Linked DNA regions of Caenorhabditis elegans. The protein of the gene in region 1 interacts with the protein of each later gene in a pairwise test. Each region holds a gene or a part of one and is shown in the gene's direction. Other genes may lie near its edges.

Evidence for each region.
Region 2: the proteins of F43B10.1 (region 1) and nphp-1 interact in a two-hybrid assay, tested with the Caenorhabditis elegans proteins (one large-scale study listed by BioGRID).
Region 3: the proteins of F43B10.1 (region 1) and ZK121.2 interact in a two-hybrid assay, tested with the Caenorhabditis elegans proteins (one large-scale study listed by BioGRID).
Region 4: the proteins of F43B10.1 (region 1) and meg-3 interact in a two-hybrid assay, tested with the Caenorhabditis elegans proteins (one large-scale study listed by BioGRID).

The regions. Positions count from the first base shown.
Region 1 is NC_003284.9:16,650,082-16,657,262, reverse strand, and holds the start of F43B10.1 (EF-hand domain-containing protein), read left to right. Parts: upstream 1-2,751; 5' UTR 2,752-2,779; coding exon 2,780-5,143; intron 5,144-7,181.
Region 2 is NC_003280.10:10,646,614-10,654,584, reverse strand, and holds nphp-1 (Nephrocystin-1-like protein), read left to right. Parts: upstream 1-2,328; 5' UTR 2,329-2,355; coding exon 2,356-2,424; intron 2,425-2,946; coding exon 2,947-3,045; intron 3,046-3,298; coding exon 3,299-3,441; intron 3,442-3,497; coding exon 3,498-4,026; intron 4,027-4,076; coding exon 4,077-4,307; intron 4,308-4,485; coding exon 4,486-4,985; intron 4,986-5,063; coding exon 5,064-5,176; intron 5,177-5,221; coding exon 5,222-5,457; intron 5,458-5,518; coding exon 5,519-5,647; 3' UTR 5,648-5,692; downstream 5,693-7,971. Other genes in the region: lact-3 (Beta-lactamase-related domain-containing protein), read left to right, coding at 685-748, 948-1,085, 1,821-2,006; M28.10 (Flo11 domain-containing protein), read right to left, coding at 6,062-6,492, 6,637-6,721, 6,773-6,898, 6,959-7,069; M28.4 (Protein tweety homolog), read right to left, coding at 7,639-7,845, 7,890-7,971. UniProt on the Caenorhabditis elegans protein: Plays a role in the extension of dendrites from phasmid ciliated sensory neurons. May be necessary for initial assembly of the cilium.
Region 3 is NC_003281.10:5,338,268-5,345,634, forward strand, and holds ZK121.2 (R3H domain-containing protein), read left to right. Parts: upstream 1-3,414; 5' UTR 3,415-3,422; coding exon 3,423-3,626; intron 3,627-4,009; coding exon 4,010-4,341; intron 4,342-4,385; coding exon 4,386-4,526; intron 4,527-4,644; coding exon 4,645-5,053; intron 5,054-5,330; coding exon 5,331-5,849; intron 5,850-5,907; coding exon 5,908-5,979; 3' UTR 5,980-5,992; downstream 5,993-7,367. Other genes in the region: glrx-21 (Glutaredoxin domain-containing protein), read right to left, coding at 7,137-7,253.
Region 4 is NC_003284.9:1,984,561-1,992,286, reverse strand, and holds meg-3 (uncharacterized protein), read left to right. Parts: upstream 1-2,679; 5' UTR 2,680-2,681; coding exon 2,682-2,739; intron 2,740-2,784; coding exon 2,785-4,306; intron 4,307-4,352; coding exon 4,353-4,463; intron 4,464-4,509; coding exon 4,510-4,656; intron 4,657-4,704; coding exon 4,705-4,839; intron 4,840-4,970; coding exon 4,971-5,260; intron 5,261-5,308; coding exon 5,309-5,634; 3' UTR 5,635-5,818; downstream 5,819-7,726. Other genes in the region: Y40A1A.2 (F-box domain-containing protein), read right to left, coding at 1,240-1,294, 1,341-1,417, 1,470-1,553.

The DNA.
Region 1 (7,181 bases):
CTTTTCCTTTTTCAATAACAAGAAGCATCTCCTTGTAAAACAATTTTGATGTTTTTATTGATGTTTCTCCAATTTCTTCCCGCGTTCAAAAACTTTTGGGAAATTAAGTCAGACTTCGAGTTTGCACCTGTTTATGTAAACCCAGCTCATTTCTAGAACACTTGAACTTATTTCATGATATCACTGTTATCAAATCCTTGATTGTTATTTAAATTTGAAAAAAACCTAAAATAAAAGATTTCATATCCTTCCCCTCTTGTACTTGACAACTGTTTTTCATTGACACTGATATCATCATTGGTCAAAAAGGCTTCAATTTGTAGAGTTAGGAAAAGAAACGTGTAATTATCTTTGGCTTCGCTCCAAAATAAACTTTATATAGAGCATGAGCCGTCTTTCTCTGTTTCTCCCTGCTTTTGTCCTACTCTATCACATAATCATAATCATAGTAGCAATCACATAACTTTTAGACTTGTTTTCATTATTTGTTTTCTTTTTTTTTGGTGGCATTCTTTTTTCTCAAAGATTTATAACAAGTCCTAGTTCTTAGTATCAAATTCTTTTTGAAAATTTTCAACTTTACTTGCCGGGATATTATAAAATGGTCGTTTTTAATTTGATTTTAAAAAAGTAAATTGAAATTTTTTGAATTTTTCTTTTTGATACCATTTAAGATAATTTCTATCCGGAGCAGCATTTTTGATATTTTTTTCCTGAAAATTAAAATGAACAAGATTTTTAATTTGTTGATTTCTGGAGAAAAAATGAAAAAAAATTATGAAATTTAGATTTTAGATTTCAGAAACAAACTTCGATAGATTTTATTCAAATCTGACTGTCAGTTTTTTGGAAAAAAGATTTATTTGAAAGATTTTGCTTGAAATCCTAGAAACCCTGGAAAATCGAGAATCTTTCAACAATAATTTCAACTCCAAACAGAAAAATCGTTGAGTGCTGCCAAAAAATCATACTTGCTTCTCTAATAAATATTTAGATATTTGGAAAATGTATCCTATGAACTCCTAACAAAATGATATCGAATTTTTTCAAATTTTTTTTCAGCTAGATTTGTTTTTAAGAAGAATTCCACTGAAATTTTGAAAAAAAATGACAAAAATTTGCAAAAATTTGAAATAAGATTTTAGGTACTTGTATTCTAATCCCTCATATTAAAAATGAATTTTTAAATAAAAACGTGTCGAGTTTTTGTATTTTTCGGCTTATAAACATTTAATCATTTCTAAGCCTAAACAGGGAAAATGAACATCACGTTTTATCAGAATCGGAAGATAAATGGAAGTTTAATTAATTTTAAAAATGCGGGGTTTTAATGCACAAGTACCAAATTTTGTAAATATATTCGCTCTTGATTATGATTGCTTTTATTCTTTAGATTGTTGCATTGTTTCCAGGATAACTCAGTCTCATAAACTATGTCCTCCAGAAAGTTTTTTACTGAACAAAATGAAACTTGCTTTGGAACTCCATAGGATCAATTCCTTTTTTCAGTCATTTTTCAGCCGCCGTCATCTTCCATTCCTAAACTTCGCTTTTAATATTTCTCCCGTTCAATATAAAAATAGTGAAACGTAAAAGGAATGATGATTAGGTGACCACGGATTGCACTTGACGAGTGCCCGATAATGATACATCGAGAGAGTGAGAGAAAAAGAGCAGGCGATCTAGCGACAGCTGTCGGGGGTCGTCGAAGTGTAGAAGGACGGACCTCTGAAATGAAAGCAAAAACGTATTCCGTCTCTCCTCGAGAAAATATATACTCCATCTCTTTCTCTCCCTCGCTCTCGCCGGGAGCCCCGTCTACCCGCTGTAACAATACCAGTGTTCTATCGGCTCGTCGCCGCTTTCGCCTCGAAAGTCTTCTCGAGGGGCTCGCAATTTATTGGCTTCTAGACCATTCAGCTTCTTCTTCTTCTTCTTTTTCTGCTTTTTCATTTTCTCTTCTTGCTGCTTCGTCTCTTTTTCTTTTTTACCGCCGACGTTCTGGTTGCACTCGCTCACTACTACCTGTCTTTTTTCGCTTGATCATCGTTTCATCTTTTATCCTCCCACTTTTTTTCGTATCCGCTTTTCTAGTTTTTTAGGATCTAGATTTTTGAATAGTGGTTTTGGTTTTTTAGCTTAAAAACTCCGCTCTAAGAGCTCTTTCAACCTTTTTCGTAGAATTAATGTTCAGAATTCTCATCATCATCACCATCTATCGTTCATTCTTTCATCACATCTTCTTTTCCAAATCTTCTTACAAAATATGTCGCTCCTCCTAAAGGAAAAGTTGTTACTATTACTAATCACTTCAATCTGCAGTTTCTGCTGGTTCAGGCCACTCCTATTCTTCTTCTTTTTCGCACTTTCATTTCAATCTATGTTTTCCCACTAATTGCTACCTGCTAGATACTGATCTATTATATAATTCTATTTTAAGTTACCAGTGGGTTCAAGTTCATTTTATAAATAAAAAATGCAATGCAAATAAAAAATTTTTTAAGTAGTATTTTTCCTCTCATTATGAATCAATCCTCCTTCCTCTATTAAATTTGATTATGATCCTATCTTTTTTCCTTTGTTACCTCTCACTCTGCCTCTCAAGTTTGTTTGATTTGTTGCGTTTTTCCATGTTTTTGTGCATTTTTGCTCCAACTTGCTGCCACCTACTCAACAGTTGTCCTGCAAAATATCTCGTTTCTTTGTTCTTCCCCCGCCATTCTTTTAATCTCTCTTCCAATTTCGGACATCTTTCAGTACTTGCGAGAGCAAAGGGTAAATGTACCATCTTGACGACGACTACTTCGCAAGATTCAACCAGCCGTCGTCCTCGTCAGTGCAGTTTCCATCGGAATCGTTACGGTACGGAGGCAGTGGTTTGGCCACTACAACCACGTTTGGTGCTGAAAACGACCCCCAAACTACTCGTTTCCGGTCGCAGTCGGCCGATAATCGAAGATCAGCGTTTCAACATCAGCCGAGAACAATCTCGGAGGATCACATTCCAGAGCCGTGGAATCAAGGACCACTTCGTACTGCTGAAGTGAACTTTCCGTCCCAACAACGAAGACCAGCTTCAACCACGCCCTGGTCGTCACATTCAGAGTACCACTCGTCACATAACCTGTCAGTACCCTCTTCCTTCTCGGAACACCTTCGCGAAAGATCGCCAGCCAGTGGCTCTGCACTTCTCGACTTACTCTCTCGTTACCCGTCTGCACAGCACTCTGTGCAAAACTCACCAGCCGTGCAAGCCTATATCGACAGAATTCACACGGATCGGGCTCCACCGACACGATCGTATACCTATCAATCGTCCGAATCTAACTTTCCACTAATTGAGTATTCAATTCGCCAAGAAGTCCCAAACGGTGTTCGATCGACAACTTCGGTTTATCAAAACGTGGTTCCAAACGGAAACGGATATCCGTCTCAACAAAGAGTGCAAACAACCTTCACCTCGAACGGTCCGGTAACTTCTACTTTTCATCGCGAATACCACAACTCTACCCCGCATCAATATCAGCACTCAAGTTCGCTTGGTGGTCCTCCTCTGCCACTTCCACGAGAGTCGTCATTGCAACAGCAGCAGCAACAGGCGCACCCGTTCGAAAATCGATCTGAGTTTCATCGTCATCCACCGCCGCCGCCGCCGCCATCTTCCTCTTCATCTCATCAATTTTACAACAACGGAGTACCCGCACTCGCCTCAAGTGCGTCGTCCGGAGGTTTTCGTCAACCCGTGTTTCACGACACGGATCAGTTGGATATTATTGCTCAACGTCTCCTTGATGACAACATGAGTCGAAGCACATCAGAATGGAGCAAATCGTTTGAACAGTTGCAGAATCGGTTTCAAAATTTGGAAAGCGATGACTTGTTGAGTCCATCCGCTTTTACGACCACTGGGTCAATGACTTTGCCACGACGTGGAGCACAGCTGCCAATTTCAAAGTCTTCAAGTAACTATGAAATGAATAGTTCGCTTCTTGGAAGAGCGGTTGAACGAAGAGCAGCTGAAGCTCCAGAACAAAGAAAATCCGGAGCATTGGATAATTTCTGGAGTCAAACCATCAGCTCGAGACCTTCTTCGCCAACAATTCAGAGAATTCCAACAAGTTTAACAGCAGCAGAACGACTTCAAATGTTACAAGAACCAATCGACACTGAAAAAAGGTTTACTCAGAGAGTTGGCAGTGGTCAAGGAGTTGCTGCAAGAAAAGCTGAGCTGATGAGAGAACCATCCGTCGAATACACCGAGAAGCCGAGAACTCCATTGAATCCAGCTTTTCCGTCAAATTCTTTCCTAATTCCAAGTTTCAATGAACTGGATAATGCTGTAAATGAACTCTCAAGAACTGTTCGTGGAAATACATTTGGCGGAACAACATTTGGATCCGTGTCACCTGCACCTGTTGTTCACAATGATTCTCTAAACCGACGAGTTGGAGGTTGCGGTAGATTTCCAACAGGTGAACACGCTTTTAGTCCCCCACCAATTGAGGTGTCTAAGTCTCCTGCTTTGTCACTTCACCGGAAGCTGCACTCTCCATCCCCAACAGATGAGGTCAGCGAGAGCTCTTCAGTGTATCAGATTCCAACAGGACTTCCGCATCCAAAACCGAAGCATAATGTGAAAGAACAACTTCATTTAGCTGGAATTCATACTCCTGGCTATCAAATTTCGCGAACCATGTATCGAAACGGACCGAACTTCCCGGTGCCCTCGACCGGAAGTGTTGCCTCTCGGATCACAGAATTCGAAAAACGACCAGGCACTCCCGTTGTGCAACTCTCGACCACAACCGTCAAATACAACGAGCATGTACCAGTTGCGGCGACCGCTAAAGCTGTACCGCAAACCAATGGCAATATGAGTCCACGGAGCGCGGTGTTTCGTGCCAAACCAGTCATTCACGTGGACATGGGCAGCACATATCAGCACTCGTCGCCGACACCGCCAATCCGTCATATTCAAGTGCATTCGGTTCAGAATCAGAATCATCAACCACTGCAAAATCATCAAAACCACCAGTCCTACCTTGGGAAAGAGCAACATAATCACTACCGTCCACAGTATCAGCAGCAGCCAATTAAACAACACGACATTGCGACCCATTCGATTTTCGACTTCAAATCAAACGTGAGTATTTTTTAGTTCTTTTTTTAAATCCTGATCTTCAATTTCTTATGAGACTGTGGGGTTTTGCTTGGCAAAATCTTGTTAGTGTACTTTCAATCATGTGGGAATAGTGCAAACAACCGCGAAAAACTATCGGGGCTTGTGTTCGGAGATGAAAAAGTATTCTGGATCTTGTTTTCGAGAGAAATGACAGTTTTTAGAACGTGTGCTCTATTTTGAGACGATTTTTGATTGCTGTTTCTATTAGTTGGTTTTTTTTTCTCAGACACCAAAAAATACTTACGTCAATCCTGAGAATTGCACCTTTCCAAAGTATAAAATAACATGTTTTTATAACTCCAAATGTAGTTTTTCCCTTATCTCTGTTTAGTTTAGGTGATCATTTCAATGAAATTTTTTTTTCATTAAAATTGTAACTTTCAAATTATTTGTTAAATAATTTCACAACAATTTTCTGCTTTGTTTTTGGACATTTTCGGAAACGAATACACATTTCTATGACGTCCATTCTCAAGAATTCAGTGTAAACACAAGTGTCAATTTTCGCTGAATTTTATTGTTTCAACTTTGCCTTGTTTGTCATGGAATTCCAGAATTTTAATAAAATTCGAAATAGAGTAGTTGAAAAGTACGATTTTTGATTGATTTTCCTATCTCGAGAAAATGTTATTCAATTCACCTTCAATGTTTTTTTATTACTACAAAGTACGCAAAATGATCTCAAAAACCAAATTTGCATAATGATAATACTTGAAATGTTTAAAAAAAATTCAAGTCCGGTCTGTAAAGGAAAATTGCTCACCTTTGATTCTGTTTTGGAAAAAAAGTTTTTGGAAAAATAATTCTCAACTCAGCTGTTGATTTACGTACATAAATTTTTAATATATCAATTTTTTCTTAGTAATCTCAAATTTCAACTGTTTCTAAGTTTCAAATCGCCATATCATTTTTTAAAAAGCAACAAAATTCTTTAAAAGTCATTTTGAGTATTTCAAAAGTATAAAAAGTGCTTTCAACATCTTCGTTATTAATTCCAATTTGTAATAAAAATTTTCGAAACATCTCAATAAATTATTTAGTTTGACCTTATCACATTCTCCTAATTTTTCAGCAAATATGTATTTAATCCTGTTAAAATTATGATGTTGTTAATCTAATTTGACTTTCTGATCGATTTGTTTTTCCAGGCTAAGCCCCCAAATAATTCAGAATTATTTATTTGGCTTCCCGAATATTTTCGAATACACACACTTATTACCAACGGCTAAAATATCAAATGTTCTCCTTGAATGCACGTGCTGCCGAGCAAAAAAGTACTTTGAACGGATAGCGTGGTGAAATGAGATCACCCAACATGCATTTCTTTTTGTATTAGTCCTTAATCCTATGTAATCCTGAAGAATATGTCAAAATGTTTATTATAATGATTGAATCCGATTTTCCTGTTTTTGTGGGCATTTAAGAATTTATGAATATGAGGCTTCCCCTTAAATGTTTTGAATTTCTGATTTCCAGTCTGTTTTTCCATAGTTTTTTGAGATCGTCAGAAAAAAACTTGTTAAATAGGCCCTGCAAAAAAAGTATCTCAAAAATTGATGTTTATTAAACTGAAAAAAAATGTCGATCTGAAAATTTTCCAGAAAATTATTTTACTAATTTTAAGACACAAAATTAGTTTTTCTTTCAGATTTTTTTTATAGGCAAACTTTTTGAAATGTCTTGAAGATTTTTCAAATTTAAGACTTTTGTTAGCTAACACTACCAAATTAAGCAGATTTTCACATTGCTCCCATATTTAAAATAAAGTTTCAAATTTCAGTTTTGACTTGAAAATTTTCGGAATGATTTTATTTCATGTTCAGAGAACCGAAATGTTTCTCGCTGAAATACTTTTTTGTAGGAACTAGAATTTGCGAGACGGGAACTTCAAAACTCAAGCTTGAGAGTTTGAAATCAAAACCATAAATTCAGATAATAAAAACATTTTAACAAAATTACAACTCAACCTAACGAACATTGTCTGGCTAGCCAGATGATG
Region 2 (7,971 bases), on another chromosome or scaffold:
AATCGAAAAAAATGTGTTCAGAAAATTAATCATAAAATTCACGTTAAAAAAAGTCAAATTTGATGGAAAATACATGAGGAAACATATAAATTTATTCTTAAACAAATACAAATAACCAGCATTTTAAGATATTTTTCGTAAAATCGAATCGGAAAAAACGGAAAAAAAAAAAAAAAAACGAAACATTTTCAATTCCGCTATATTTCATTAAAAACTATTGGCTAAAATTCAGATTTCAGCAAAATTCGGTTCTTTTTTCGAAGTTTTAAAATATTTACACTCCATAAAAGTTTTGGCTTTTTTTGTGTAATGTCGCATTATGAAATTCGGTAGTTTCGAGCAAATTTTTGTATATTTACGCAAAAAATTCTGTTACCCAGATCCGAAACTTTGCTATTTTCCCCCAAAAAATACACTACCAGGTCTCGAAGCGGCCGATTTTCTCCAATGCCAAAATTTAAGGATTACTGTAGTTTCCAAATCCTCGCTTCTTTTTGGATTTTTTACGATGTTGCATGTGAAAGTATAAAAAAATAAATGAAATGTTTTAAAATGAGAATTCAGAAACTGCCGTACTCCTTAAAAGTCGCTTCGAGACCTATTGTCATAGTTTTGAGACAAAATCTCGCATCTGACCAATATTTTATGCTATTTCATTTTTTAAAATTCATGTTTTTTTTCCAGATTGGAGCAAGCTGCCGCACTTGGAATGGGAAATGCTCGTTCTCTTGCCTCACTTTTTGACAAGGTTTGTTCTCGTTTTTTTGATAAATTTATGAGAATTTTAAGTTTTTTTTCGTTTTGTTTGAACATCGTTATCAGCTGAAACTAGGCTGATAGCGAAGAAAAGAAATTTTTAAGTCGAACAAAAAAAAAGAAAAAGGAAATTTCCTTGTGACTGTTTAAAAAAACTGAAACAAAAACGATAGTTAAGAGGATTGTTTCAGGTAAATCGAGGAAAACTTCTCAATCAGGCTACACTGAACACGATAAGCAAACCGTTCGTCAACGAGAGTGATTTCATTTTTGATGATACTGTCGCCAAGGGACACGGATTTTTCCATTTGCCCATTCATAGAGCTGGGGTGAGATTTTGAATAATCGAAAGAGGGACGAGGGATGATGGAAATTTTGAACTGAAAAATTTTAAAAAATCCATTTTCACAATAAAAAAACCAAAAAAACCAACAAAAGTCTGAAAAAACTCTTAAAGAACGAAAAAGTCAAAATTCATCCAATAAAGCAGATTTTTTAATTTTTGCCAAAAAAAACTTTTAAAAAATCCATTTTTGCGAAAAAAAAAACCACTGTCCTTTTTCCCATAAAAAATTCAAAAAAATCAATTTTTCTCAAAAAAACCCGAAAAGTACCTTTTTGCTAAATAAACATAAATTAACAAAAATTAACAAAAATTAACAAAAATAACAAAAATTAACAAAATTAAAAATAAATTAAATAAATAAACATAAAACATAAACAGCCAAAAATTAATTTTTGCATTAAAAAAGACTGAAAAATCCATTTTTGTAATAAAATTACAACTGCCGAAAAAAGCAAAAAAAAAAAAATTTTGAAACCCCCAAAAAATTAGCAAAGGACCAAAAAAAAAGAGCCCAGGTGGTGAACAGAAAACGAAAAAACAGGAGAAATTGTTGAAAAACCATTAATTTCGAATTCATTCAAAAAATGAAAATGCATAGAAAAAATATTTAAAACCCTAAATTTAGCTAAAGAACCTGCAAAATGTTAGGAGCGTTTTTTTATTTAATTTTCAGTGAATTTTTTTAATATTTTTCTTTCATAATTCGCCATATTTTCAGACTCAATTCGGCTTCGGACATACCGGGCACGGATGCCAAATGGTCATCACAGATCTCAAGAATCGAGTGACAATTGCCTACGTCACAAATGGGTTGAAAACGGGACTCTACGACTTGTGCAGGACGTACTGGGGACTTCAGACTTCTGTATATGATGTCATCGAACAAATTAATATTCAATCATAATTTATTTTATTTCATTTTTTAATTAGTGATTCCATATAGTTTTAAGATATATCCCAAATCATCCCGCGTGTTCTTTGTACAGTCCGTTTTTAATTCATTCATTCCAAGTGTCGTTCTCTCAATGTTGAAGCTTCTTCCCCCGTAATTAACTGACCGAGTGACCCCACAAAATTGCATATTTATCTGCTCTCTCTCGATTTCCTTACTAATAAACCATCAGTTCACCAGTTTTTAACCACATTTGCGGGGAGCTGGCAGGTGGTAACCCGCAAGTTGCCAGGGGCAACGAGGGTGGCTTAAGGCAAGTGGCCGCGCGGAAAAGAGCTTTCCAGGGGGAGAGGAAAGCAGGATGTCCATATTTGGAAGCATTCTAAGTCTGCAGGATGCCATAAATCGATTTCCGCAGTTTGAATATCAGGTGGGGAATATTAATTGTTAACACGAATTTGAAAAGGAATTCGATTTTTTTCAATTTTTGGATTTTTTTGTAATTTATTTAAAAATTATTATTGTGAATTTTTTAATTTTTCCATTACACATTATTAAATAACTAAAAATTGAATTCGTGGTTTATTGTTCATTTCCAACTAAAAAAATCCCTTCAATACCCAAAAAGTTGCAGTGGGGCGCATTTTCAACGTTTTAATTAAATTTCAAACGTATAATTAAAACTGAGTCTCGTCACAACAGATTTTTGTTAAATGCGGAAAGGTGTGCGTCTTTAAAGAGTACTGTAATTCAAAATTCCAGAATTTTTTTTAAATTTAATGTACATATTTTCATCTAAAAACTATTAAAAAACTAAAAAATTCCTCTGCAACGAAAGTTTGGAATTACAGTACTCTTTAAAGGCACACAACTTTTCGCATTCGACAAAAATTGTCGTGTCTAGACCGTAAACCGTATTTTCAAGGAAAAATAGCAAAAGCCTTTTTTTCAGATAAATCGCCTCGAAAAAGAGCAAAAAGACACCGAAGCCGCGTCGAGAGCAAGTTTTCGCAAACATTTTGTCAGACAGTGCCAGGAATTGCATAGACAGGTAAAAATTGCATTTTCTCTATCTGCCTTATGCCTGGCTGCCTACGGGCCTACCTACCGCCCATTATGGGATCTCCGGTTTGATTCATAGATTTTAGGTCGACCAACTTTCTATTTAATTTCAATTAATTGTTTACAAACATTGAAAAATTGTTAGGCATATGTGTAGACCGTAGGCACTCTGGTAGGTAGGCATTCTCGTGCCTACGTAGAAGTATCATTCAAGGATATCAACATATGCATACAGTTTGCAGCTCGACGATCACCGAAATCGAATTGAAAAGGCCAAAACTGACGAGACCTACAAGAAAGAAAACGCTCTAGAGCAACTTGACAAGTTGAAGCAAAGATTGACAGCTTTGAGCCCGGAAAAGGAGCAATTATCGTTTTCTGTCAGGTAAAATTATAATTAAATTCAATTTCTCTAATAAATAGTTAAATATTCAATTCCAGTGTGGACTCTCAATCAGAAGAAGAAAAACCGAAAATGGCTGCAATTGGCCGCCGAAAAAGCACAATGTATAACGATGATGAATCAGAAGATTCTGATAATGATTCAGAAATTATTGAGACGGATGTTCAGCTGGATGATCCTCTTCCGAGTCAGCCACAGCCTCCACAGCAACAGCACCAGCAACCTCAACCAAAACCCAGACAACCTATCACAATTACAAAACCTCTTGAATCAAAGACTTTGAATGAACGTCAAGAACTTGATGAAGTCATCTCAAGGCTTCAGAATCCGAGTCGTGGAGATTCTGGAGAAGTTATGGAACCAGTTGTAGTCCGTGGCAATGTTTTTGTTGCAATTGACAGTTGGGATGCAGAAGCTGAAGGGGATTTGGAGTTAATCAAAGGAAAGAAGTATCGAATCACACAGACAAGATCCGATGGTTGGTGGACTGCACTGGATGAATATGGTCAGAGGGGTCTTGTGCCAAAGACTTATTTACAACATGTTAAGGAAAAGCCGAAGAATGTGGTTTGTTACTTTTCTCTAGTATCGTTAGTTTAATAAGTAGAAATTTTCAGCCATCAAAAGTGTCTAGTCGCCTCGGAGTTCGAGATTCGGTGATCGGAATATCTACGACTACTGATCCATCAAGACGAGAAGCAAACCGGCAGGCATCTCGAGTTGATGACTGTCTTGGTAAAGCATATGACAATGACACTCACTTGTCACTAGTGTGCCATATGGCTCCGAGACTATCAACTTCAAATATTGGATTTCATGATCTTTTTTGGAGTCATTACAAGGATCAGGTAAAAGTTTAAAACTTGCAGTTTCTACCCAAAAAATGCTACAGTTTTGCCAAAAAACCTCTGAGTCTTCCTAAAAACGGCTGAGAAAATTGCTTTAAAAATTTTTACTATGAATCATTTGCTACTCATAGCAACACATTTTTTGCTCACTTTCATAAATCAACTATATTTTTTGCAGGTTTACAAGCGAACTGTCCATATATCAAAAATTATCCGTCTAGTTCGATTTGAAAAGATGCCCCTAATCGAACACAAGGCACTTGTCAGAATGGCTCTTGTCGACATCACAAATCCAAAATCCACTCAAATTGTGAGCAACGTGCACACTCTTGTGCCACGTGTCAAATCTTCAACGTGGTACTTTGAGAAAAAAGAGAGCCAGACGAGAAGCTGCATCGAGTTTTCTGATTTTGTTCTCCGCTCAAACTATCGATCTCCGACAGTGGTACTTGTTGTGGAAGCATCTCATTTGGTGAAGACACAAATAGGAATTGAGGAAAAGAGTTTGGGACATACATATCTGCGACTGATAATTGATGATAAAGCAGTGCCAAGTAGAACGAATGTTTTGTATTTGGATGATGAAGTGATGACAAAAATGAAGTTGCCGGAAGCTTCGAAAAGAAGAGTTCTGGTTCAAGTGATGGATGTTCCCAAGGATAAGGTTTCATATGTGGAGTGAGTTTTGGAAACTAAGAAAGCTGAAAATCTGGATCCCTGACCTGACTTTAAGTTCAACCCAAATTATTTTTCCAGCTCCCTCCCCGATGTCATAGTATTCAATGCTCTTTATTTACCATTCTTCCACTTTTACCGCCGACGAGCTGGAACCATTTTAATTCGGGACAATCGGAATCCATTGAGTGCTGGTAGGATTTCATACCCACCCAAACAATATTTTGAACTAATTTCAGAATTTATATCTGACCCACTTCTCTCTGTATTCCCATTTGTTTGTGACCAGCATGACATTATGGATATAATGCTGAAAATTTGGAAAACCAAAAAGAAAGTGCTCGCCAAGAAAAACGAAGCTGAACAAACTGCCGAGTTCTTCCAAACTTTTCTACACACCGCGTTTTTTATTCATGGGATTCGAATGATTTCGTATGATGTCAAAGATGATCTTACTCTTTCGATTAGGCAACAGGTAGAGCTGCTGCTCTTGGAGCTCGTTTCAAAATCAGGCTTCGATTATTGTAACATTTCAGACTATGCAACGATTTGTGGATGCATTGAATAAGGGACTTTTCAAGCAGTTCATCGCAGATCAACAATGCAAACCAATCAATATTATCGATTATTCATTGGATCTTTTAGGCAATCATTCTATTGACTAATTTATGGAGATAAAATTAAGCTCAATAAAAAATTTAACTGTGTAATAAGTTCTACTCATCTAGCATCTAAGCATAGAAATGTTTCAGTCATTGTTTCAGTAAATTTCAAGTTTTGAAATTTTTGGTTTTGAAATTTTTGGTTTTTTTGTTTAATATTTGAATAATTTAGAGTCGACTCCCAAACATAGGAGTGGTAAAACTGAGCAATGGCCATTTTTCAGTTGTAAATTTTCACACTGTACCCTCTCAAAAAATGGATTTGAAATGAAATATGTTTATTCGCAATAATGAATAAAATTGGGCGATTTTTCAGAATCACAGCCTCATCGAATTTATTCCATTAAGGGGTTTTATTACATCATGAAATTCTGCGAGCTGACGATCAGGATGTGGTTCTGAGAAATCTAAGAGTTCCTAAACTGGCTTGCCGCTGATTACAGTAGCGGCAGCGGAAGAAGCTTCAGGTGCGGCGGTAGAGGCCTCGGAAGAAGCAGCGGTTGATACCACAGAAGCTCCACTTGCAGTAGTATCTCCACCAGCTGTGGATGCAACGGATGCATCGGTTGCTCCAGAGACAGTAGAACCTGGTGCATCAGTACTCACTGGAGCAGCAGTACTTCCACCAGTCGGCTGAGTTCCTTGAGACACGGTACTTCCGTTGTCAGTCACAGGGTTTACAGTGGAGACATCGCTGGCAGTTGTGGATGGAGCAATGGTAGACGGAGCAATAGTGCTTGGAGGTGAGAAGCATGTGTAGCTGGAGTTTACATTTTGTTGGAAGCAAGAAATTGAGTTGTAAAGCAATGTGGCGGTTGTGTTGGCGTTTGCTGATGCGGTAAGTAGGTCTGGAAATAAAATGGAATACGGGAAATTTCAAATGTGAGAATTGAATTTAAGAGCACACCTGGTCAGAAAAATTTACGAACTCCAAAAATATATGCATTAACTTAAAACTTTTAAACTACAGTACAGACTTCCTGCCTATTTACCTGATGCATTATTACTAGCAACTTGAACATTATCATTCAAGCTCTGACCAGTTGCATTGACCACTGTGAAGTTCGCATTAAAACCCTGAAATCAATTGCTCAATAGTCTAGAAAAGCTTAATTGGCACAAATTTACTTTTGTGAAGGCACATGCACCGGTGTCATTAAATTTCAAAATTGTGGAATCCAATTTTGAGAGACTTGAAGCAATAGTTGCAACTTCATTGTTCAGGGTTTGTTCATCGATAGCTTGAGCCACTTCCTGAACGATTTCAATTTGAGAATTTCAGTACTATGTGAAAATGTATTGAAAATGTGTCACCTTGGGAACCACAAGTTGGAAGGTACATTGTCCATTTTGGCATCCGTAATTGAATGATGAATCGAAGGCGAGCAGTGCCGGAACAAATAGGAGAAGTACGAGACGTGTCATCTAAAGGTAACAAAAACGATATACGAAAAAGGCAAAACATCAAGGCATTACATAACTTCAGGCAAATTTGCCTGGTAGGCAGAAAAGTCTAAAATAGATTCAGTTTTAAAATCAATTTAAATTTAAAATTGTATAAATTCGGTCTACCGATGGTAGTTGAAAAATGTAAAAACGGGGCGTTGGTTACAAGCCATCGCCGCATTAAGATAATAAATCATTCAATTTGGCACTGATAAGAAATGAAATGGAAGGAAATGGAAGCTGCTCGGCTACTATTTGAAAAGTCATGACGTCATTGGAATTGGAGGTGGGAGTTTTTAATAAGCGAACAAATTATTTGCTTGATCGTTTTTTTAATGTCTGACTAAATTTTAGTAAATTTTCTGAAAAAGTTAATAAAATATCTATTCGCAGTGATATTCTCAGAAGCTTTTTTCGAGCGAAAAGGAGAGCATAGGTCTTCAAAAAAGTAACACCATAAAACTGTCTGAATTGAAATAAAACACTTTATAATTCTATACAAACATGAAAATAAGGTACCGACAATTGGAAGTTTGCATAAACATCAATCACCATTTTGGTACAACGTCAAGTGTGTCAAATGAAGCCCTTGATGCTCTCTTTGCTGGAGTTTTCGGAGTTTTTGCCAATTCATAGTTAGTTCCTTCAGTAACTGTTGTAACTGACTCTGTCGGGTGCACACTGGCATGTGAACTTTCAGTATCCACTTTGGGGTCACTGGTGGACTTCACGGATGGTACAGCTGTGGAATCTTTCTGAAACTAGACAGTAGAGCTTCATACTGTTAGACATGTCAAACCTTATCAACATCACTTTGTCTCAACCAACGGTAAACAAGAAGAAAGAGAATTGATTGAAGAAGAAATGCAATTCCAGCTAAC
Region 3 (7,367 bases), on another chromosome or scaffold:
TGCACCTTGTTCGTCGAGACTCTTCCAGATTTTGCTATTAAATTTATTTTTAATGAATATTTCTTTTCAATATTCAAACATCATTTTTATTAATTTTTCTTTTTTTAAATTTGCTCTTTTATAATAACTTTTAATTTTGCAAGAAGGGCTTTTTTTGATACTTTTGATCTGAAAATCCTATTTGATTTTTGGTGGGACACACACTTTCTCAACACATTCAATTCTTGCTAATCCCTAAGCTTTTCTTTTCTTTCTGCAAATTGTTTTGAGCTTTAAGAAAATTTTGGCAACTTTTTGATAATTTCGGAAATTTCTGAAATTAATTTATCGATAGCTGAAAATCAATTTTGACTACTTTGGCAAGTTACTGATTTTCGGCAATTCTTAAATATGAAATTGTCAAATTTCTCACTTCAAGTTTGTTTTAAAACTTAGTAGCCGATATTCTAGAGTTGAAATTTCAACTTTCTTATTTTGGTAACCAAAAACCCAACCCAAGCCCTGAGCAATTTCTCTTGTTGTGTTTGTGTTTCTATGGTGTCAAGGGTAAATCCCTATTTCATATTTACTATGTAGTTTTTTCATGAGTTGTTTAGAAAAAAAAAGGTAAAGAAGAGGAGGAAATAACAGAAAATGGCAGAAGAACATAAAAAGGGAAAGAAAAACGGATAGAAAGTGAAAAGAACGAGTTCAAGAAAATAAAAAGTGGCGGAAGAGAAGGAGGGGGATCAAAATGGATCATTTTTGATTTATGAGCATTTGAGAAAATATTTCCTATGAGTCATAGGTTTCAAATCGGTTGCCGAAGTGCCGAACTGAAACGTTTGCCGAATTCCAAGTCTGAAGTCCTTGCCGATTTGCCGAAACCAAACTAAAGACGTTCTATGTACCCCGAGTAGAGATCACATGACTCACGAAATAATTGCTCACTCACCTGAGAAATGATCACCGGGATCCGCTTACGAAATTTTTATTCTTTGAGTTTATTGATGTTCTAGGAATAATTGAAGATCGGAAACTATTCGGCAACCCAAAATTCCAAACTCGAGAAACTTGGCAATCATGAATCAGCGGTAATTTGACTACTTTTTCTAACCTTTACTCTGGATCTGAATTAGAGGCCTACTGTCGACATCAAATATTCCTTCCAAAAAGCACTATGACGATCACGTGGAGGATTTAATCATGCAGAATTCATTGATGCACGTAGTTTTCTTATTTCTCGTTCAATGACCTCATTGAGTCGAATAACATCAGATTTATTTGAATTTAACATGATCTGAAACATTTCCCAATGCTTTAACATTTATCACGATTCTTGCTATTTTTGGAAGATGATAGTTAAACTTTTTTTAAAATGCTTTTTTGGGCTCCTTTTTCGAATTTTTGACGGAAAAAAAAATTTCCCCAAATTCTATAATTTTTCAATTACTCTGAGCCTCAACCTGTTTCATTTTCAGATTCCATTTCCACCTGCTTTCCTGTGTCTCTTCACTTTTTCCATTTCTCTCGTTGGGCACATTGTTAACGTCATTTGTATGAAACAAAGCTGAATGTAGACGAAGAAAAAACATCTGCATAGGCTCTTTTTGTCGATAATAGAATACAAGTATGAAACTCTGTGTCTCAAAGATAGAGTGGATAAATTTATTCATGTTCTGATAGTGAGAAATGAAAATTTCGAGTTAGTTTATACTTTTAGTATAGAGTTTACAACATAGCCAAATGGAGAAAACATATATTTGAACTTTGCAAAAAAATATTATTTATCTAACCAAAAGTAAACTACCGTATTTCTTCTATTAATATGGCTGCAATACTATTTTTCGATGGTCTTCCCGCTTGCAATACTAATAGGGAGTGCAAGACTATTAGGGAGTGCAATACTAATTTTCAGAACATTTTTCTGACTTTGAGCTTACTATTTTTTTCTGAAAAAAACTCGTATCTTATGTAAAAATTCAGAAAATTTGATTGCAATTGCAACAAAAAGGTACAATAACTTCAATTCCATAGAAATTTTACCAAAAATTTGTTGCAAAGTAGGCAAAAAATGTTGTAAAAATCTCAAAATTCAAAGGTGCAATACTAATAGGGAGTGCAAGTCTAATAGGGAGGCCATATTAATAGAAGAAATACGGTATTCTGAATTCCGCTCGTTAGTATCTTTTTATTGAAAGTTTTCAAAAGAGATTTATAATTTTCAAATAAAAATTCTAAGAATTTTACAATTCTTTCAAGTTATCAAGTTTTTGGATGTAGAACTACGTTTGCACTATATTTTCCAGAGATTCATACCGAAAAAGTTCTAAAAGTCAATTTCCGTTAGGAAACCTCACCTCAATTTCCTCCCACCCATTATTATTCAAGATGAGCACTCCCACCCGTGAGCCACCACAAAAACACATTATTTGGCAGTTTCTAATCCCCTACAAATCCCCCTTGAAAATGATTTTGATCTGATTTTGAGCTTTTCGCAGAAATAATTGGAAATGTTTGAGAAAATGGATGGAAACTGCATATTATCAGTGATATTTAGTTGTTAATTCATGCTTATTTAGTTGCCTGTTTCATAGAAAATTGGTGATAAAGTTGTCATACGGTAGGAAGTAGGACATGATTGGAAAAACTAGATTACTGTAATTCGAAGAGTCATTTTAAATTTAATTTTTTGAACTCTATAAGCTACTAATTTTGCCTAGGTTCAACAAATTTTGGGTCCCACCGCGAAGACTGGAGTTCAGTTTGAAATGTTAATTTTCATGTTTCAATGCACTTTTAAGCTATAATAAACGAGAGATTCCGTTACAAGACCCACAGTTGTAAAATTGACGTTATGTAACTTACAATTAGACGAGAAGATACATAAAAGTGGAAATACCGAATTTTTTTTTGAATTACTCGCAATAGAATTTTTATTTTTATTGCAAGAATACGCAAGAAACACCCGCAAATTGAATTATAACGGGCTTTAACTTCCTCCCTTCTTGCTTCCTCCACGTTTTCTTTGAACCTCTGCTTCACCTCAGATTTCTTTGTTTACATTTATTTGGTATCTCTTATCTCTGCATAGATAAAAGCTTGGAAATTCTTTTAATTTTTAAATACCTTCTTCTTTTTCTTATTCGAACTATTATACCTTTTCAAAAAATAGGCCTATTATGTATTTATATTCATTTTTATGTTTTTTATTGCGAAATTTCGTCTCGTTTTTTGGTTCTCAAAAGGCGGGGCTTAGCATTGAATGGGGGAGAAGGACATTCGTGGGCGGAGACTCTAAAGCAGCTGAAGCTTACCCACTGCTCCATTTTCATGCAAACTCTGCTCTTTTTTGGTAGTACTACTTCTTGAATCCTATTTTTTTAAATTCTCATCCTCTGCTTTTTCTGTGCTTCCAACAAAAACCAAATTTTCAGGTGTAAATGTCAACCGAAAACGACGTTTCAGAAGAGAATAATTCAGAGCTTGACGATGTTGAAGACGCAAAACAAGATGATCGGCGACGATCGACTACGGTAATAATGACAATGAATGTGACGACGGTGCCAGCTACAGAAAGTGAGGGAGTTCGGAGGAATGGAAGTGTTCGAAGACGACTTTCAAAACAGAATGCAACAATTGAAGAGGTGAGCAATTTCAAGGGAAGGTGGGAAATTGTCCCGCGAAGTGTCGGACTTCGAATATGGGTGCCGTTGCTGATGTAGTTCTTGTCCCGTATGGTGTATGCTGCTAAGGTACACAACTTCTTGAAGCCGGCTAAAAGTTATCACTAACCCGTAAAATGTCGGCTGCTTGGAGAATACATTATTTTATTATCATATTGATCAGCTCACTCTCTTGTGAATCATCAGAGGATGATCCGATTTTGTGTCATAGGCCGCGCTGAAAACTGAAATAGTTCCTGTTAGGAAGTCTGCTGAAATTCATATTTTTCACCCAATTTCGAAGAATGTTTGTAAGTTTATAGACAAAATCTGGTCGTTTTCGACTGAAATTTTTTAATTTTTAGCCAATATCTCTCCTGTCAATTTCTGATAGCCCATCAGAAAACTCGGATACTACGGTCCCATGCATAGAAGAGCATCCAGAAGAAGGCAAAGAAGAGGAGAAGCCAGCAGAAAGCAGTGACGTGTCAAAACTCCGCCCACCGGGTCTCGCACAGAATAAACTGTGGTCCACATCGAAATCGTTAAGCAGAGAGTCCACAGGAACCGAGTACTCGGACAGAAGTGGCATTGATCTAAGGAATTTTGTGGATCGCACGTTACACAAGAGTGAAGAAGATCGGAAGCAGCTTCTGGAGTTCGAAAAACAACTCAAAGAACTTATTTTAGATGATAGGTTCGTTTTTGTTAAAATTTCAGTCTGAAATTGATAATTTTCAGCACACAATCGAAAAGATTCGAGCTTCCATCATCCTATCACCGAATGCTTCTTCACAGGTGTGCCGCGTGGTTTGGTCTTGATCATAATGTTACGAATAAGCAGACCGATATTGTTGTGAACAAGTCAGAGAAAACCAAAATGTGAGTTGATTAATTTTCGGATGTATGTATCATGAAAATCATAATATTTTGTCTGTTTTAGTTTAGCCCCTTTATTTGGTCTTGTCAGATTTTAACTAGAAAAGTAACAAATTTCCAGTCCTGATGACAACTTCACCGACTACATCCGGCACGATAATTACGTAGAAGACCGACTGAAACGACAAAACACTTGCGGATCCCGCAAGGAACTTCACCATATGGAATCATTCGGTGATCATTCGACGAGTCAATATGGAAGTCAAGCAAGTCTTAATCATGATCTACTCATGATGCGAAGGGCACAATCATTTGACGTGGCAGCAGTCACTGGACCATCAGTTATTCAACCTCAATCTCCACATCATGTTCGAGGTCTTCCGATGCGACAACTTTCACTCAACTGCCCACAACAATCAATGGTTACTGCACCAATGAGTGGACCACAGGGACATCAATGGGCACCGCAAAGATCATTTGATTGCTCCAATAATAGTTATTTGTGCACTGGAAAACATCCAATGATGAGGGTGAGTATCAGAGTTCGCCTGAAAAATCGATTTTTCAAAAAAGAAACAGCGTCGAGTTTTACTTTCTCACGATCGCTAAGCTACAAGATTTTGAATCAATATATGATTGAGATTGAACGTGTGGCCGTCAATATCTGTGAGCTTCAGCCATGTCGATTTACGAGTATCTCTCATACATTTCATAAGTTTCCATAAGTTTCCGAGTTTCGAAAAATTTAAGATCACATGCCGTGGGCGCAAAAAACGCTTCTCAAACTCTAACCTCTAAATTTTCCAGAAAGCAGAGAGCTTCGGAGGAATGGCAAACGGAATATCACATGGCTGTTACGAGCAAAGTGTGCCAGTAGTTTGTGGAACACCTCCATCAGTGATGGTTCATCACCACCACCACCACGCTCACATCCAACAACCTCCAACCTCCAACTATACAGGCTATCAGGTATTCGAAGAAATGTCAATGCCATCATCAAACTACCAAGAGCCTGGAATGTGCTCCCCGGGAGGAACCTACTATGAGTATGTACCTCAACCAGTAGTTCAACCACAACAGTACGCTCGTCCAATTCGGTACATGCCACAAGATTACCGAAGACCTCAAGGAGTTCAGTATATGTATGGACCACCACCACCACAACAATATATGCAATACCAGCCAATGGTTCATCCGGAAGTTGAAGTTATTGTAGATCCAGTTCAAACTCAACCCTTTCCACAAGTCAGTCACTTTGTACTGCCTGATCAACAACAGGGATACTCATCAAGCCATCAAGCAGAGACAGCAAATAGTTTTATAAAGGTAAGGTTGAAGATGAGGAAATGAATTGATGGTTGTTGAAAATAGAACAACGATTTAGGCAAGCATTGATGGTGGATATGGAAGCATGAATCAAGACGTCGAGAATGCTGAAAAGGTCGAGGAGGTCTAAACCTTTCCCCCCCCCCCCCCCCCCCCCTCCCGTTGTCTCTTTAAATGGTATTTCTTCTTTCTAGCCATCCCCTTGTAGATTGTGATAAAACCCCACGAAAAGACGATATCGCCAAACATCTGGATAATTACGATTATATGAACATGATTCGAAGTACGGATTTTCAATTTTTTCTAGTCAACTTGTAGATTTCTTTCTCTCTCTCAATCCTTGTCATCTTTTTTTTTCTTTCGCTCTTTTGATATCGAATAAATTGATTTTCAATGCCGCTAAATAACCGCTAAACTCAATCATAAGACTTTGACATGCATTTTTAAAGGAGCAAGCATTTATTCAGAAGTGTCTTGGCACGAGAAAAGGTTCATGGTAAATAGCCATTGTTTAAATTTTTCGGCTGCCTCCAAGTTTACTTTCCTTAATTCCTTGCATTCTTCATTGAAATTACCTCGTCTTTAGAAAATTTTATGTTTTGTTTTCATTTTTCCGTTTAAAATGCTTTATTACGGGAACAAACAATTCTGAGAATGCATATTGCGCAACACATTTGACGCGCAAAATATCTCTTAGCAAATTCTACAGTAATTCTTTAAATGACTACTGTAGCGCTTTCGCCGATTTACGGGCTCGATTTTTGAAATTAATTGAAATAATTTAATTATCGATAAATAAAATATTTTAATTCAATTCGAAAATCGAGGCCGTAAATCGACACAAGCGTTACAGTAGTCATTCAAAGATATTTTGCGCGTCAACTATGTTGTTCAATACGCATTCTCAGGATTATTTGGTTCCGTAATATATCAGTTTCCCATTATTTTAGCCTTCAAATGCACATTTTTAACAAAAAAAAAGCTTTTTGTTAAAAGCGAAGTAATTTCGTTGAAGCATGATCGAATCAGCAGAAAAAAAACAACTACCATAAATTGTTGCGCGCCGAGACACATCTTAATAAATCCATGCGCCTTTAAGAAGGCATGCCAAAATCTTGCGGAATTACGATACACAAAGAAGAAATAGAAGTTTATTGGAAACAAATCTTTTCAGAAACAAAAAAAATTTAATACACATAAATCGTGGTAGGTGTGAAAACCTTCAACTACAATAAAATTTAGACAAAAACTGAAGAAAAACTTTTTTTTTGGAAATGGTGAAAAAGTTTATTCTTTCGGCGAATTCTCTCCCGTGCACTGAGCAATTGCTTCGAAGAGGTGTCCAGAGTTGCGGAGAGCATCCAGCTCAGTGTATCCACCGATGAAACGACCGCAGACAAAGATCTGAAAGAAATTTATTTGAAAAACTTTAAAATTCGGATTTTTTTAAATTTTATGGAAAATTCTATACCTAGCCGTTTTCAGATTAAGATTAAGATTAAAACAAATTTTGCAAAA
Region 4 (7,726 bases), about 15 Mb from region 1:
TGTGACTGAAATCCCTAAGTTCGCCATTTTGTGGTAGTAAAAAATTAAGCACAATAAAAAAATCAAATAACTTACCAATAGATTTTAGGTCGACGTTTCGGATGCCATGTATAGTTTTTAATACCTTTCAGGATTTTTTCATACATAATGGGACTCATTCTGCTGTGCAACCGTAGTCTTCGGAGGTTCGGCAATTTTCCATTTAACCAATACAATACTATGTTGTTTAGATCCAATTCTTTGATTGAATGTACACATAATCTGATCACTTCACAATTCATTGATCTTAAATCTTGTAGTGTGATATTTTTGGCGTGGTAAAATTCTATCTCAGGAACATTGTAGATCTGAAATGAAATATGATTATAAGTAATTGGGATTTTTTGCAACTTCCTTACCAACTCTTTATTTTCGAAAAAGCATTGAATGTTAAGTTTTTGTTTCAACTCAATCATTGTCGTCAACTCGTTCATATTACTGGTTGATAAATTTTCATTTGGACCACCAAAAATTTCCACACATTTGCATTTATTGAACATTGGATGACTTAGTGTTGGCCGATAATCGCCGAATAACTTCTCATGGCTGATCAGTAAATCGAGGTTTTCAACAAAAAAATAATTGGTCAATAGAATTCAAAATTTCGATCAACTGATTCGGTTGGTCGTAGCTCATTGTATTGAATTTTTTAAATTTCGAATAGTCACTGAAAAAATTACAGTTTTATATGGCGATGCATGAGAATTGTTTCAGTAGAGTTTTATTTACTTGGGGTTTATATTAATTGAAGATTAAAAAACGATCTCGACTTAAGTGCTATGCACTGCGGAACTGAGAGTCAGGTACACTGCCTGGTCATCACTACCGACTGAGCAACCCCTCCGGTCTAAAATTTTTGAACTACCGTGAAATGTTAAAACATGGTTAGGTAAAAACTTTTTGAAAGTTTTCAAATGTTTAAGGTCATTCAGACTAAACAAATCACACATGTTTGAGAAAAAACTAGCAGAAAAATCAAAAAATTACCAAAACGTAGAGATGCAAAAGTTGGTAATGCTGATTGAAAAAAGGTTTGGATATCTTAAAGTCAGTAGTTTACCAGACTTAAAAGGATAATACATGTCTTCTGAAGTCTCTATAGCAATCACTTTGCTTGAAAATAAATCACTAGGATTTCGGAATGGTGGTAGATCAACATGGAAAACACGGTTGTCGATAAGAAGTTTGTAGATTTTTCGATTAATTTTTTTTAAATCTACATCTGGTTTCACCAGAATTTTTTGATAGTTCTATTCTGAAAACAATAGACATTTAGATAATTAAAACCTACTTCAACTCACACTTCAGTCAACTTCAATTGATGTATAATATTCCGAAATGCAGGATACGGTAAACCAAGTAGGTGAAAGGGTTGAATCTAAAAAATCAATAAAATTAAACGAAAAACTGTAAAATACATATGTTCTTGCCTTGTTTGACGGGGTCCTGATACCTCGACGTTTAAAAAATCTCAGACAAATAAATGAGGAGAGTTGTGAAATAAAGGAGCTCATACCAAATGGTAACTCAAATATGTAATCGAAAAAAAAAAACACTGAGCAGACTAACGGAGCAGGCGAGCGTCTAAATGGTATAATCGATACATAGAAAGTGGTTATAAATCCTCCAAGTGTGTGACATCATACATTGTGCACAATGTAGCAGTAGCTATAGTAGCAGGAAATTAGTAACATTAGATCTATCCTGTTTGAAAGCATCAATGTCGATGAGTTGTTTTTTAAATTAAAAAACCATCGAGAATAATTTGAAAAATAAAATATGAATAATCTGAAGTCCCAAGGAATACCAAATTTCTACTTGAAGATTCTCAGTTTTTGTAACTTTTTAGAAGTCTTCGATCAAAAAAAATCCTTTGAATAGACATTTTTTCATATTTTTATGAATTAATAATGTTAAGAATCCTTATTAGTTTGGGATATCCAAACATTTTTTAAAATTTATGTTAAAAAACAAAAGATTTCAATGTTCTATATAAAGCAGTTTTTATTACTTTCCAGGTACTTAGTATTCCTATATTAAAATAATTTTAAAAAATTTCAAAACTCTGCACAAATCCGTTTTTGGAGCTATTTTAACGACCCTTTACATCTCGTTTTCAGGAATTCAGGATTATGTTCCGCCGTTTCTTTTAAAAAGTTTGAGATAAAAAATTATTTTAGTTTTGATTTTTCGCTTACAGGTTTTCTAATTAACATCTCCTTTACTGCCTATTATCCTGTTTCTTTTTATAAATTTATTCTTCTCATTTATTATTCAGTGATTATCCAATATTTTAGAGAATTAACTATCAATCCAATTGTTCCTCAAAACTCCATAGTCTTGGATAGTCTTGAAAACTGATCGATACCATGCAAACGGTGTGTGTTGTTTTGTTGATTCCCTGCCGCATTTGAACTATTTTTTCACCGCGCGCACGCATCGCCCCTGTCCGTCTCGCCACACACTATTTCCGCGCGCTCTTTCTCTACCTCTCACACTCTCTCAATCTCCCTAACTCAAGTGTTCATTCTTGTTGCGTGGTCCCACCGGTTTGCATTTTTTCATCTCTGTCTTTCTTTTTCGTTGTATTTTTTTAAATTTCATTTATTTCAATATTTCATTAAGTTTTGATTTTTGCAGGTATGAGTTCCTCAAAACCTTACCCAAGCGGTCTGCCAAACTCGAGAAGAAAAAGAGGAGGTGAGAGTTTTTTGCATCAATTTTTCATTCAATTTGTAAATTCAGGTCGCCGCTCAAGTAGTCGTAGCAATCAGGAAAGTGCATCCAACAACATGGAACACCAAATCACTCTTGACGAATTGTTCAATCCGATCGCAAAACAAGACAGTGCTCAGTCAACAAGCCGTGAATATGGTGCAAAATCGGGGATATCTCATCACGGATCCGTATCATTCAACGGGAATACATTCATGAATGGCCAACAGCTGAATCACTCGATGACTCGACATGGTCGAGTATTCAATCAGTCGATGCATGCAGCTCAAGGAAACGGCAGCAACGCCTTTAACAGTATTCCTCCTACGGCCCCCGTCTTCTCTGCAGACTTCCGCCGCAACTTGCAAACACGCAATAGCTCCAGCTGGTATGAACGAAGATTCCCAGTATCCACAGATCAGGACGACGTTCAGCAATCAAACACAAGACGTAGTAGAAGTCGTCAGAATGGACAACATGGCCTAAGCTTCTCGGATGGTTCGAACAATTATGGTCACGCTGGGAATAAGTCATTCAGTGTGAGTTCCGTTCCCGTTGGGTTCCAGAAGCAAGAAAATAATTCTAAGAAACTGCGACAAACCAATGTTCACCAGCAATGTCTTGGAAATAAAAGCTTCAACGCTCAAGCTGGAGTTCATGGACACGCTTTTAAAAAAGGCCATAAGGACAATAAAAATGCATCTGGAAAGGAGGTTATCAATTCTAGTCTTGTCCAAAAGCACGATGCTATTAAGTCGCGGAATTTGAACCAGAGCTTCTCTGGATTTCCTACACATGAAACCTCATCGATGAAAAATCAACAACAGAAATCAAGAAACGACAGAAAAAAATCACGTGGTAGCAGCAACTTCCAGGATCGTACTTACTTCAACACAAATGACGATGAATTAACTGACGATGTGTTCATAGACGATTCCATGGATGCTGCCCGTGGTCGGAGATCTCGATCAGTCACTAAGAAACTTCAACAATCGACTTATTCAAAGCAGAATGCAGGCAGTAAACAATTGACTGAAAAATGCAAATCTTCTGAAGAAGCGGCTAAACGTAACCTGGTATCCAATGTATTCAGCAAGGACGGCACTGAACTCTCCATTGAACAGTTATTGGAAATTGTCAGCATGAAGATCGGACAACAGATTCACTTGCCTTCCAGCTCTCATGGAGAATGCAGCAATTTGAATCGGACATTACCAGCAAGTGATCTAAATTGCTCAATTGGTGAAGACTTTGACTCCAGTTTTGTGGATGCTAACAACCAAACCCTACCAGTGAGTCTTCCCAAGAAAACTTCACTGTCGATCAAGCGCCGTGGAAGTTCTCGTAGTGCCTCCCGTCTGGCCAGTCTTGATGTGACACTGGAAACTGTTGAAGAAGACGAGGAACCCACGCCAAGTCCACAGCCGAGTTCTCCTCCAAAGATCTCAAGAAGAAAGTGGACAGGAACTTTTGATGCCAACGTTGAGGAAATGAGACGTTTACTTCATGGGGACCCTGAGATGCCGAAATCTGCAAATCGTGCTTCCTCAAGGTATGTAGTGAAATAGTAAAATCTTTAGTAAAAATTTAAATTTCAGCAAGGATCAGATCAATCGGAACAATGTGGATGTAAAGAGAACACCTTCCTCGTCAATCATCCCAACTCCAAAGGCTTTGATCGGAGAAAGATGTCTGACATCATCCAGCAAGTTAGTTTTACACTTGGAGCTTCTTATTTCATTATATTTTTTACAGGTCTTCAAAGTTGAACAAGTCACTTGGCGTGGTTGATTCTAAAGCTACAAAATCACCAATGTATTCCGTCACAGTTTCTGGAAAAGAAACAGCTTCAGGAAAGCGAATTGCTCAAAAGTTGACTCCAAAGGTTGTGGCGCTGGAAAGGTATGACTTTACAAAAAACGAACAACATTTCCATATTTTCTTTTCCAGCTCTTACATTACCGGAATTCCAGTTTCCACGGATTGTAATGGTTGCCCAACTCCGAAGAGAAGTGGAATCAATTGTGAAATTCGTGCAGCTGAAGTATACAATCAAGCTGGGAAATGGCCCTTCGAAATCACCAGGTAAGGTCCAAGTTAATAAATCCGCTATCGATCAAGCATATGGAAAATAATGTACAAGCTGAAAAGATTGAGCTCAAAACTTGATTCAAATCCTGTAAAATTATTTTCTGAGTACAGTAAATTTCTTTCAGTGATCCGGCTCCACTTCCTTGTGAATCAGCCGATCGGATCGAATATCCTTCTCAAGATTGCACTCAAGATCCAGCTTCAACCTCGCCACCACCTCGCATTTCTGAAAGCTTGACAGCATTCCTGGAAGCTCAGCAAGACTTTAACGACTACATTGATACTAACTACAAAGAAAAGACACAACTCCTGAAAGTGAATTTGAATATTCACGGGATGTCACCTGAAAGATGGCTGTACTTGAATTATTTTTGCACCGAGACAATTCCAAGATTGGATGGTCCTTATGCCGATGGTAAGAAAGATAAGACATATTTAATCTTGAAAACTTTAATTTTTTCAGATCCAAGAGTTCCACCTGTGCGAAATATGTTCAGAAAATGGTTCCTCCGTTTTGCTGAAGCCTGCTTAGGAAATCCTCACCAGCTTGCAGTTATGCAAGAGATTGCTGCCACGTTTGTTCAGGCTCGGCTGGACGATACGAGCAGCTCCACAGACTCCACCAATATGCTCTACATGTTGTGGAAGGAGTGTATCGGACAGAAGAATATCATCGCAATTGCTGATGCGTGTTTACTTGCACATCTTCGGAAATCGGATCCTATCAAATACTTGAATGTAAAACGGGATTGGCTGGAATCTATTTTTGACCCACCCAGAGATCAATGATTGTACCAATTTATATCTATTACTTGTAGACTATATTGTATGTTATTCTTGTTCATTAACCCTTTATCCACTCTTGTTATATTTCAACTCGCTTCTCCTTGTGAATTTGTATTATGTCTACCCAGATACTTGTAGAGGGTAGTATTATATTGTTGTCTGGATGATTGATAAAGAATTGCCGATTCTTTAAGATTTGGAGTGGAACTAGAATAAAAGAAAAGTTCGAAATAGATTTAAGAAAAGATGATTGGTAACTGATTTGAAAATATACATATCTTCTCATAGATCTTTTTTGTGAAATTTAAATACTGTCATTAGGCAAAATAGTAGTCACGGATTCAATTTTAAAACAGATGCTTCAGATTTGTTTGGAAAAGTTCCGTTTTTTAATACAGGGTGGGCCATAATTATGCGCACTACTTTGAAGCTTCATAAAACCAAAACAAAAAACACATTAAACAAATAATCATATAGGTTTTGTTCTCCGAGAAAAACTAAATAAGATACCATTTTTGAATTCGAAAATATCACCGTCCGCATTGCTACAGGCCTTCACAAGTTTCGGAAACGCACCAACGATGGCGGACAAGTAGGCACGCTTCAGGGTTTTTCATGTTTTTCTCGGAGGACTCATTAGTTATCAAGTAAAATTTAAAGTTCAAAGAATGCTCTTGATTCAGAGATGCTTCACACAAAAAATCTAAAAGATTGATATTGTTAGGTGACAGTGGCAGCTGATTGAGTATCGAGTACTGTGAAATTCAGTCAAGGCCTAAACGAAGCTTGTGCGCGGAAGCACTGACATGCTAAGAAAATCATATTTGTGTTTTTAGTTATTATTTTTACCCAAGGTTTCATATTTTCTTACGAATTTGCTCATAGATGATTTTGCGGATCGGTGTGTCTCGTGGAACAGAAAAAAGTGATGCGAACTAATGGGACGGTCTTTAAAACACACACTATTATCCATCATTATATCCATCAGTGTTGGCGCATAACCACTTTTGCTGATTCAAAACATACGTAACTGGTTCACAGCTACTTAAACTTCATATTAATGCTGAAAATCAAAATTTTTTGGAATATTGGCCGGTGGTACAGGCTCTCCGCCAAAACACCACTTTGGTAGAGGGGTGCTTCAGATTGTCGTGGTTGTGGAGAGTGCATCTTGTTGAGAAACATATTAAATTTTATGTCAAATGGAAGATAATCATCCCGGCAACCAGAATAAATTAAAAAATTTGAGACATGACGTGGCAGTCGCGTAAAAAACTACAGTAAATAGGCTAGAAACGAGTGCGCATAATTATGGTCCACCCTGTAAAGTAAAAAATCATGTGAAACATCTGGTAGCAAACAAATAGTTGAAAAGCATACTCCAGGTTGACAATTTTCACAATCAGATCTTGTACATACGAGCATTAAACTATTAGTTTCAGTTGTGCTGTGAAAACTCAATTTTCACTACAAAAAAGAACACGATTTCAAAATATATTCCTAACTCTAATGCAAGAAGTAGCACTCAATTTGAAATCTCACAAATTTTGACCAAAGATCTTCTCGAAATTACTTGCAACCACACCAACTGACAAACACTGAGAACAAACACTGGAGAGCACCTGTTGTTATTCCTTGCTATTTCTTCGTTTGTTGTAAGCTCGGGGAGTTTTACCTCCATACTTCTTTACTTTTTTTCTCTAAATGTTTTTTTTCAAGATTAAAAATAACCAGCAACCTAATAAAATTAATTCGACTGTTATTTTAGTTGAAATTTGTGTCTTCACACAAGTCCGAACTCGGAGACAAAATTTTTGAAGTTTCATAATCTTTTCACAGAGAAAATAAAACTATCAAAATGCAAACGTGAACAAGTAACCAAGAAATTTAAGTTATCATCAGAAAATTCGATGTTGAATTCAATTCCGCCAGTATAGTCCGGTTTGAATACTTTTGCAAGCTCCATTGAGTCAGATTTTTCGAAATAAATCTGACAACATTGAAATGTACTTCTTCTCATGAGATCCTGTAAAGCCAATAAATAATTAAACGAAATATAACATGTAAAACATACATCTCTAATTTTAACTGCAAC